Drosophila melanogaster: one gene and its partner. The protein of the gene in region 1 interacts with the protein of each later gene in a pairwise test. Each region holds a gene or a part of one and is shown on either strand. Other genes may lie near its edges.

Region 1 (3,797 bases):
TCCAGAAGGGCTCCAGATCACCGCCATCGGATGCCTTGAAGAAGGCACCTAACACCGCTCTAAATCGCTCGATTAGTAACTTGTCCTGCACTTTCTTCAGCGGATCACGTGGATAGAGTGGTCGCAATGGATACTGCTCGTCCAGATATTCACAAATCAGTAGCGACTCTGTGAGCACAGGTGGTCCAGGTTCTCGCACGATTTCTAGAGCCGGCACCTTGCCCTGTGGATTCTTCTCCAGCAGCCACTCCGGCTTGTCTGTGAGATTAATGTAGATGCTGTGATACGGGATCTGCTTGGCGTCCAGGACCAGATGCACCCGTTGGGCAAATGGGCAGAAGCGCATCGAGTACAGGCGAAGGATACCATCTTCGGGAACATCCGGCATGGGTGAGCCTAGTGGGCGCATTTATTATCAATTATGATTATCCTGGTTTCCTGGCTCTACCCACCTTTTGCCAAATGCCTGCCGTTACTCATGATGTGCGTGCTCGGGTCCAGAGATGCAAGTGGTGATAGCGATTGTCATTCGAGTGATTTATAAAGTGCAGCTCACTGCCCTTCGCCGGTTGGCTTCGCTTACGCGGCTGAACTTGGTGGCTTGCGGCTGACACACATACCAAGCCATGTGGATACAGTGAAGCCCCCTTGCAACCTGCATATTGCTCCAAAATATTTGTTTAAAACAAAACTTTTTAAGAACTAAGTTTTTCGAACCACGTTCTGTGAATCTGGAACGGAATTCTTGCCTTTCTAGCCTTAATTCATTTCTTTGTCACATAAAATATTTTAGTTTTTATTGTTTTTAGAACATTATTAAATCTCCTTTGTTATATAATAGTTTCATTTTCAGTACCGATCTAAGCCAGCAGATCGTAGTTTGCATTGCCGGCCTTGCGGGTGCGCCAGAACTCGTTGTGCTGCTCGGGAGTGGCATAGAAGGACTGCACCACCGAGTCCGCCTTCAGGAGGGCAATCCACTTGGTGATCTTCGGGAAACGACTCTCGTTGAAGTTGTACTCCTTCTGCAACTTCAACTCGATTACAGAGAGGCGTTCGAACCAGGGCCAGATCATGTAGTCCACGAATCCCGGCTTGTTGCCGCCAAAATATGGGGTGCCCCGCTTGGTCAACTCCTCCTCAAAGATATCAAGTGCCGTCCAGTAATCCTCCAGACCGGTGCCCTGCACAAGGATGTTTATGAAGGCACTGGTGATGCTGCTGAAACGTTCCAGCAGAATCTTGTCCTGTGCCCGCTTCAATGGGTCCTTGGGCAGCAACGGATTCTCCGGGTACTTATCGTCCAGATACTCGGCAATAATCAGCGACTCGATGAGCGAGGGCTCACCCTTCTCCGCCACCAGCTGCAGGGCAGGCACCTTAAGCAACGGACTCACTTCCACCAGCCACTCTGGTTTCTCGGTGAGATTGATGTAGACACTGTGATAGGGCACATTCTTGGCGTTCAGGACGAGATGAGCCCGCTGAGCGTAGGGACAGAACCTCATGGAGTACAGGCGAAGGACTCCATCGTCAGGGAGTACAGGCTTGGGGGAACCTAAAGATAGAATTTATTTACCAGTTAAATTTAGGTTATACAAATAAATCAATAACTTCATGAGTCACTTGTGGAACCCTAAAATCCACCCCTGTATTATTATTTGTTTAGCAAGTCATTGCACTTAAGTTAATGTTGATAGGGCCCAGTCGTGATAAAGCTCAAATTTTGTAGCTACGTTATCTTTTAGAGTGTAAATATTATGGGTTATCTGATATCGGGGTGAAAGCTATAGCTAAAAATGTAAGTAAATTTTACAAATCAAATAATTAATTTAATGCATTACCTACAATTGTAAAAGAATAAAGATCGTATTGAAATTTACCAAATAATATACCTTTCTAACTTTTTAACCAAAAAATCCCAGTTATTCATGCCAATATTCTTTAACATTATGAAATATAAAAATCGTTATTCGATAATTACGCTGAATGTTGGAGAACTTGTTTTATAAATAATACTATAAACACTCTAATGACATGGGCGTTTCTCTTGGCGGCGGCGACAACTGGTTTTGCTTGCTCTCTTACCTTTGGCCAAATGTTTACCAGAACTCATTTTGTTTAATTGCAGAACTGAACAAATTCGCTTAACTGTTGAAATGTCGACGGTGAAATGCGAACTGAGTTTTCTCTTCGACGGCGCTCTGTTTATATAAAGTTTTTTGTTTGTGTTTTAACGCGAATAAGAATAATCGAGCTTTTTGCGACGTGACTCTTAGTTTTCGTTAGCTTTTAAAAACGATTTCTCATCGCAGACGTTTATTTCGATTTAAAACGCTTTACTACATTTGCGATTTGTTTTGTGGGAAGAGACAATCATTTCCTCCGCATTATACATAGTACATCTACTTAGTTTGTTAATAATCACGCCTGTTTGTAAATATAGATATATTTTGTTTTTACATGGTTTGGGGGGAGCTTTATTTTTGTTTTTAATTGAACCTCGGAACTACTACGTACATTTAGAGTTTTAAGTTTATGAACTTTTCGTAAAAAGTTTCGATCGGCGGACTTTCGAAATCAAACTTAATCTATGTACAAAAAAGTTCTCGAAATTTCCGTTCATGCCTTACAAAAAATACAAAAAAGTATTAATACATATACAACAGAGTTGCTGACATCATTGAGTCGCGATAAATAGTTGTTATCAGTAATTGCATTCGAAAAACCAAATTGGAAAGTAATAAATAATGACAACTACACTTGCTGCTGGAATTAATTGTTTATCAAAATGTAAAAAGATCCTTTCGCTGCTTTTGGTCCTACAAATGGGATTTCTTTTGATGCATCCTTTTGAAAACTCAAGTGGATGATTAATTTTTAGTTTTTAATTCATTTTAAAAATGTCCGCAAATGGTAAACATTAAAATTTAATGATTAAACTGTATCGTTTTTTTTCCCGAATCAATTGCGCGTTGTTGTTACGGTAAATACATGGGATAAATAGCTAAAACTAAGTAAATACGTACACTTAAAAAAATTCTACACACTGGAGTTAAATGTTGCTTTGCTTTCGTTTCTGAATTTCTTGCTTTGTCTTGTTTTGCATCGTTGCCTGACGATTTCCATTCTAAGTTTCGTTTATAGTTTCGTTAATTTTTTTTTGTTCGCAATTTGTATTTTGTTTGTTGCTCTATAAAATATGCAAACTGGTTGCATTTTGATCACGGTTCTTGCTGTTGCATATAAACATCCATCTCACTTTTGATTATTGGAACGACTTGAGATTTTTGAAAATGAATGAAGAATATGGCTGTTTTCAAATTTATCCATGGGCATCCGGTTTCGAATCCTTCAGCTTCATTCGCCAATGGTCCAATGGTTCTTTGAAGTTGATCCCTATGGCTGGCCTTAGCCATTCGGTGAGGTGGATGCTCCAGGAGATGTGGTTGTGGCCACTGCATCGCTGTTGCTCATCTTGTGCAGCATGAGGGAGTGCGTCGATCTGGTGGCGGTGGAGCTGGGATACTTTGGCTGCATTTGGCTGTTGGACACTGTGGAAGAGCTGCTGGTCGCCGGCGGTGGCGGTGGCTGCTGGCTGCAAGTGAACAGAGTTCATCAGTGTGCTTTTGCTAGCCCTTAGGACACACACCCCTTCTGCTCGCCATCCTTCTTGCTGTTGAACATGGCCAACTCGATCTCCGTGTGCTGGCTGTTCATGTGGCGCACCCACTCCGCCGGCGTATCAAAGGATCTGCACATGGGAAAGGGAGTTAGTATATATTTTGCTTCTATAA
Region 2 (4,484 bases), on another chromosome or scaffold:
CCCGCAGAGCCGCACCCTCAGCTCCGCTGCCGCCCAGGCGACGGTGAAGCCACCAGTGCAGGTGTTCGGTCTGGAGGGTCGCTATGCTACCGCCCTGTATTCGGCTGCCTCCAAGTTGAGCCAGTTGGATCAGGTGGAGAAGGATCTGACGGCCCTGCAGGCCACCATCCGTAGCGACAAGAAGCTGCGCGAGTACGTGACCAGCCCCATCATCAACAAGAAGGTCATGGCCACCGCTCTGAAGGAGGCATCCGAGAAGCTCCGCTTCGCCCCGGCCACCGTCAATCTGTTGGGTCTGCTGGCTGACAACGGACGTCTAAAGAAGCTGGACACCGTGATCAATGCCTACAAGACCATCATGGCCGCACATCGCGGTGAGGTCGTCTGCGAGGTGGTCACCGCCAAGCCCTTGGATGCGTCCCAGAGCAAGCAGCTGGAGGGTGCCCTTAAGGTAGCTACGCCTAGCTTCTGTCTTGTCTCACCCACTCAATTTATTGCTCATTTGCTTTGCAGTCTTTCCTGAAGGGCAACGAGTCTCTGAAGATCACTTCCCGCGTGGACCCCAGCATCATTGGTGGCCTGATCGTTTCCATTGGCGACAAGTACGTCGACATGAGCATTGCCACTAAGGTCAAGCTCTACACCGATGTCATCCAGACCGCTGCCTAGACTCTTAAGGATTTGCTCTTGATTTAGATGGTCAAACTGAAAGTTTGGTATTGGAATTCAAGCGGTAATAGCGAATAAAACACTCTTCACCCTTTGAAAACCAACAAAATTTATTCAGAGATATGCGCACTAGATTTGGTTTATGATTTAGATATATTTTTAGGATCCGGTATATCTGTGCACTGCAGCTCCGCAACCTTGTGCTGGATTGTCTGCTGCAGAAGGCTGTGCTGCTCCAGCAGATTCTCCAGCTCCTTGATGCGAGATCTCTGCAGTTCCAGAACCTTGGTGAAGTTACTCGTGGCCGGGGACTCAAGCCAGTTGATTAGAAAACTATTATGTTGCTCTTTATTATCGTTGGCGTTTTGTTGAGCATCAAAATTACTCTTCGTCTTGCTATCTAGTGTACTCGCATCCTGCCCTGGGTTGGGGCTGCAATCATTCAAAGGACTCTCCTCCAGGACCAGAACATTGGTCTCGTTCGAGGATCGACAAACTCTGTAATTGGGCTTGTCGATTTCCGGGAACACAGCTCGCTCATCATTTTCGGTCAGATCGGACTCTTGAACGCAAATCTCTGGAGGCGGCGCCATGGGACGTTGCTTCGCCGGAGAGCAGCACCCATCTTCATAGTCATTATTCCGGGTGCCGTTCATAAGCAGCACGTTGATTGCATTTGAAGTTCTTCTCTCGCCGCCGCCACAAGTAAAGTTATTCGAATTATTGGTGTATCCGCCAGATAAACCTGTCGCTGAGCTTCCAGTTTGATGGCTGAACGAGCCGGTCATCTTGGTTCGCCTAACAGGCGAAGAGCTCTGAGTCTGCAGCGTCACCGTTGAGCACTGCACTTCCTGATCCTTCAATTGCTGGGTGATGCACGTCTGGCAGCATTCGCTCTTCAGCTCCGGCTTTTTCTTCGTATTCTGCTGGTTCATCGAACTTTTAATTTTGTTGTTACCTCGTGAAGTTGGCGATACCGGGTAGTTCGGGCTACTGCGGAAATCATCTGCTACAGTTTTTATGTCCGTTGTCCTGAAAGCTGGACAAGTGAGACGTTCACAGGAACTCTGTTTTTTTGGGCTGCCTTTGGAATTATCCTTTCTTTCTTTATACTCTTTATTTATACTTTGTTGGCTGCCTGAATCCTCTTCTAGAGGGGCTACCGCTTTTTTGATCCCTTGCACTGGACAGAAACTACAGGTGCATCCATCACAGGTGCAGTTTACAGCTCCAAAGGTCGGTTTATTTACCCTTGGGCTTAATTTCATAGGTGGATTATTTTTGTTCTCTAAGTTTGTGGCCCTTGTTTGTGGATTGGGATACTTCTGTCCCATTTGGGTGTATGTATTGCCCTGGAACATGCTGTTGCAGGTGTTTCGAAAACGACAGCAACCATTCGTACATCTGTTCGCGCTGCTGAATTCCTGCCTCTCCGAGCCGAGACTCTGTTTGCTTTGGTTCTGGATCCGCTCGTTAGTCTTTTTGCTGATGGAATAGCCATGGCCAGCGTCCGATGCCGAAGAGCTCCACCTGCTCCATTCCTGCAGGCCAGCTTGAGTCCTTGCCCTGCCAGCAGCACGAGACGAGCTCTCCGATTCCGAACCTGATCCGTGGCCATCCAAATGGGAGGCGCAAACGCATCCGTGCCGGCATAGCGATTCGGGGTCGACGTCAAAACTGCTGAGGTTGGCCAAGTTCTGCCACCGGCGAGCCTCCGACATGTTGCGCGGGTAGACGCACTGCTCGCCCGGCTCCTGGCCACAGATTATACAACGACGATGCATTTTCCAACGGACAACCAGGACGGAAACGGTAAAATTTTGAATTTTAACTACAGGAGCATTTGTCGAAGTGCAAAACTATAATTGGAGAGGGTGCCTACCTTCTTTTATTGAAATTCTTAATGGTGGTGGTTGGTAAAAGAATAGTTCTAGATTTAAATGTTTAAATAAAATTAAAAAAAAAAAAAACCGTTTAAATGAGTGTGATCTGAAAGGCGCACTGCTGAAATGCCTTACTTTTCTGTGGCCCCCCCATTGTAAGGCGTTTTGGTATTTCGCACGAAAGCAGCTGCACACACTTCGCAACTGTTTAGTTTAAAAATAGTAAATGCAACGAACTTTTGTGTGTTTTACTGGCCCCCTTCTTGATGACACAGTCTGGCAGTTGATACAATGAGCTTGCCAACCGACGGTCTAAACATGGAGATCACCCCAAGCCCCACCCTGGCTGCCACGAGTCGCGGCGACTTGGAAAAAGTGCTGGCTATGCTGGTCCTCGGACTCGGGAGTCTTTTGTTCGGATTGCTGCCCGCCTTTATATCGGAACGGAATCGTCGCCGCTTCCCGCTGACCGCATCCCTGCTCCTGTGCTTCGGAGCGGGCATTCTGCTAGCCACCGCACTGGTGCACATTCTGCCCGAGGTAAGAGCTTGGACTGCGATCGTGTGTGTGGCTGCAATTTGATAACCTGCTGACTTACGCATGCAACAGGTGCGCGAACAAATGGACTCGAAATTCGCTGAGGTTGCCATGTGCGGCGGGTTCTTCATCATCTACTTTATCGACGAGTTCATACACTACTTCTTTGGCGAGGCCATTCAGCACACTCATGCCCACGATGCAGAGACTCCAGCAACCGAGCCACCAAGACGTCCCACTAATGACAATGGTTATGGCGCAGTGGACGAACGAGCGCCCCTTTTATCAGCGGAACCCAATACGTCACATGGGCATTCGCACCATCATAGCCAGTAGGTTTATTGCATTTCCCTTCCCGCAGCCAAAACTAATTGCTTTGTGCTTCGATTACGCAGCGATCATGACCACAATCACCCGGCCAGCGCATCTGGCTGTAATGATGCCAGTGTAGAGGACGCCAACGCCCGCATCTGCCACACCAGCCACACGGAACCCTGCGCCCAATCCATGACAGGCACTCTGGGTCTCTTTGTCGCCCTGTCACTGCACTCGGCCATCGAAGGACTCGCCATCGGCGTTCAGAACTCTTCCACAAAGGTCTGTGCCGCCTGCCTTGACATAGTTAGACTAGATCGGCTATAGTGCGCAATCTTAGGCAAATATTGAAGCAAAGAGATGCGAGGGCTTAGTCCAATTAGATAACCGGAATCTGCTTTGTCTCGTCGTAGGTTCTGTTTCTTCTAGGGGCCGTCGCCTGCCACAAGTTCGTGATGGGCTTTTGTCTGGGGCTCGAGTTCCGCTCGAATCCGCAGACGAGTTTTCGCGCCCAGTTCGTCGGCATTTCGGTGTTTGCCCTGGGCGCCGTCATTGGCATTGGCCTGGGCATGCTTATCGTGGACGTGCCCGCCGCTTGGTCCAGCAAAACTCTGCCTATCGTCCAAGCTCTGGCCGGAGGCACACTCTTCTACGTCACCGTCTGCGAGGTGATACCGCGCGAGAAGGCGCGCTGGCACTCGAACTCAACGCGACGCTGGGCGGGATTTGCACAGTTTGCAACTGTGCTCGCCGGCTTTGCGACCATGTGCATCATAAACTTTTATCTTTCTGGTGCGTAGCATTATGTGATTTGCATTTCCCTTTCGACATTGCTGACCTATTTTCTTCGCGCCTTTTCAGATGAGGATTAGACATCTTTTCGTTGAGAAATCGTTTCAGCGCTGTGAGAAAATGTGCCGCTTTTTAAACTTAGAACACTTAGGATAATATTATGGATTGGCAGCTGTTAATCTCTTGTGTAAGACTTGTTACTTGTGCATTTCCAACTAATCTTGTTTTAGGTACATTGTCGATCTGCCGTAGGATAAGTAAAAAGTTCAGTCTTCTCGTCTACATTTA

The links.
Region 2: the proteins of GstO3 (region 1) and CG14864 interact in a two-hybrid assay, tested with the Drosophila melanogaster proteins (one large-scale study listed by BioGRID).

The regions. Positions count from the first base shown.
Region 1 is NT_037436.4:8,517,273-8,521,069, reverse strand, and holds GstO3 (glutathione S transferase O3), read right to left. Parts: upstream 2,186-3,797; 5' UTR 2,117-2,185; coding exon 2,089-2,116; intron 1,559-2,088; coding exon 861-1,558; 3' UTR 775-860; downstream 1-774. Other genes in the region: se (sepia), read right to left, coding at 1-396, 453-480; CG6765 (uncharacterized protein), read right to left, coding at 3,412-3,598, 3,653-3,754.
Region 2 is NT_033777.3:15,265,920-15,270,403, forward strand, and holds CG14864 (uncharacterized protein), read right to left. Parts: upstream 2,511-4,484; 5' UTR 2,454-2,510; coding exon 810-2,453; 3' UTR 765-809; downstream 1-764. Other genes in the region: ATPsynO (ATP synthase, oligomycin sensitivity conferring protein), read left to right, coding at 8-451, 514-669; Zip88E (Zinc/iron regulated transporter-related protein 88E), read left to right, coding at 2,844-3,092, 3,162-3,421, 3,485-3,686, 3,818-4,196, 4,266-4,276.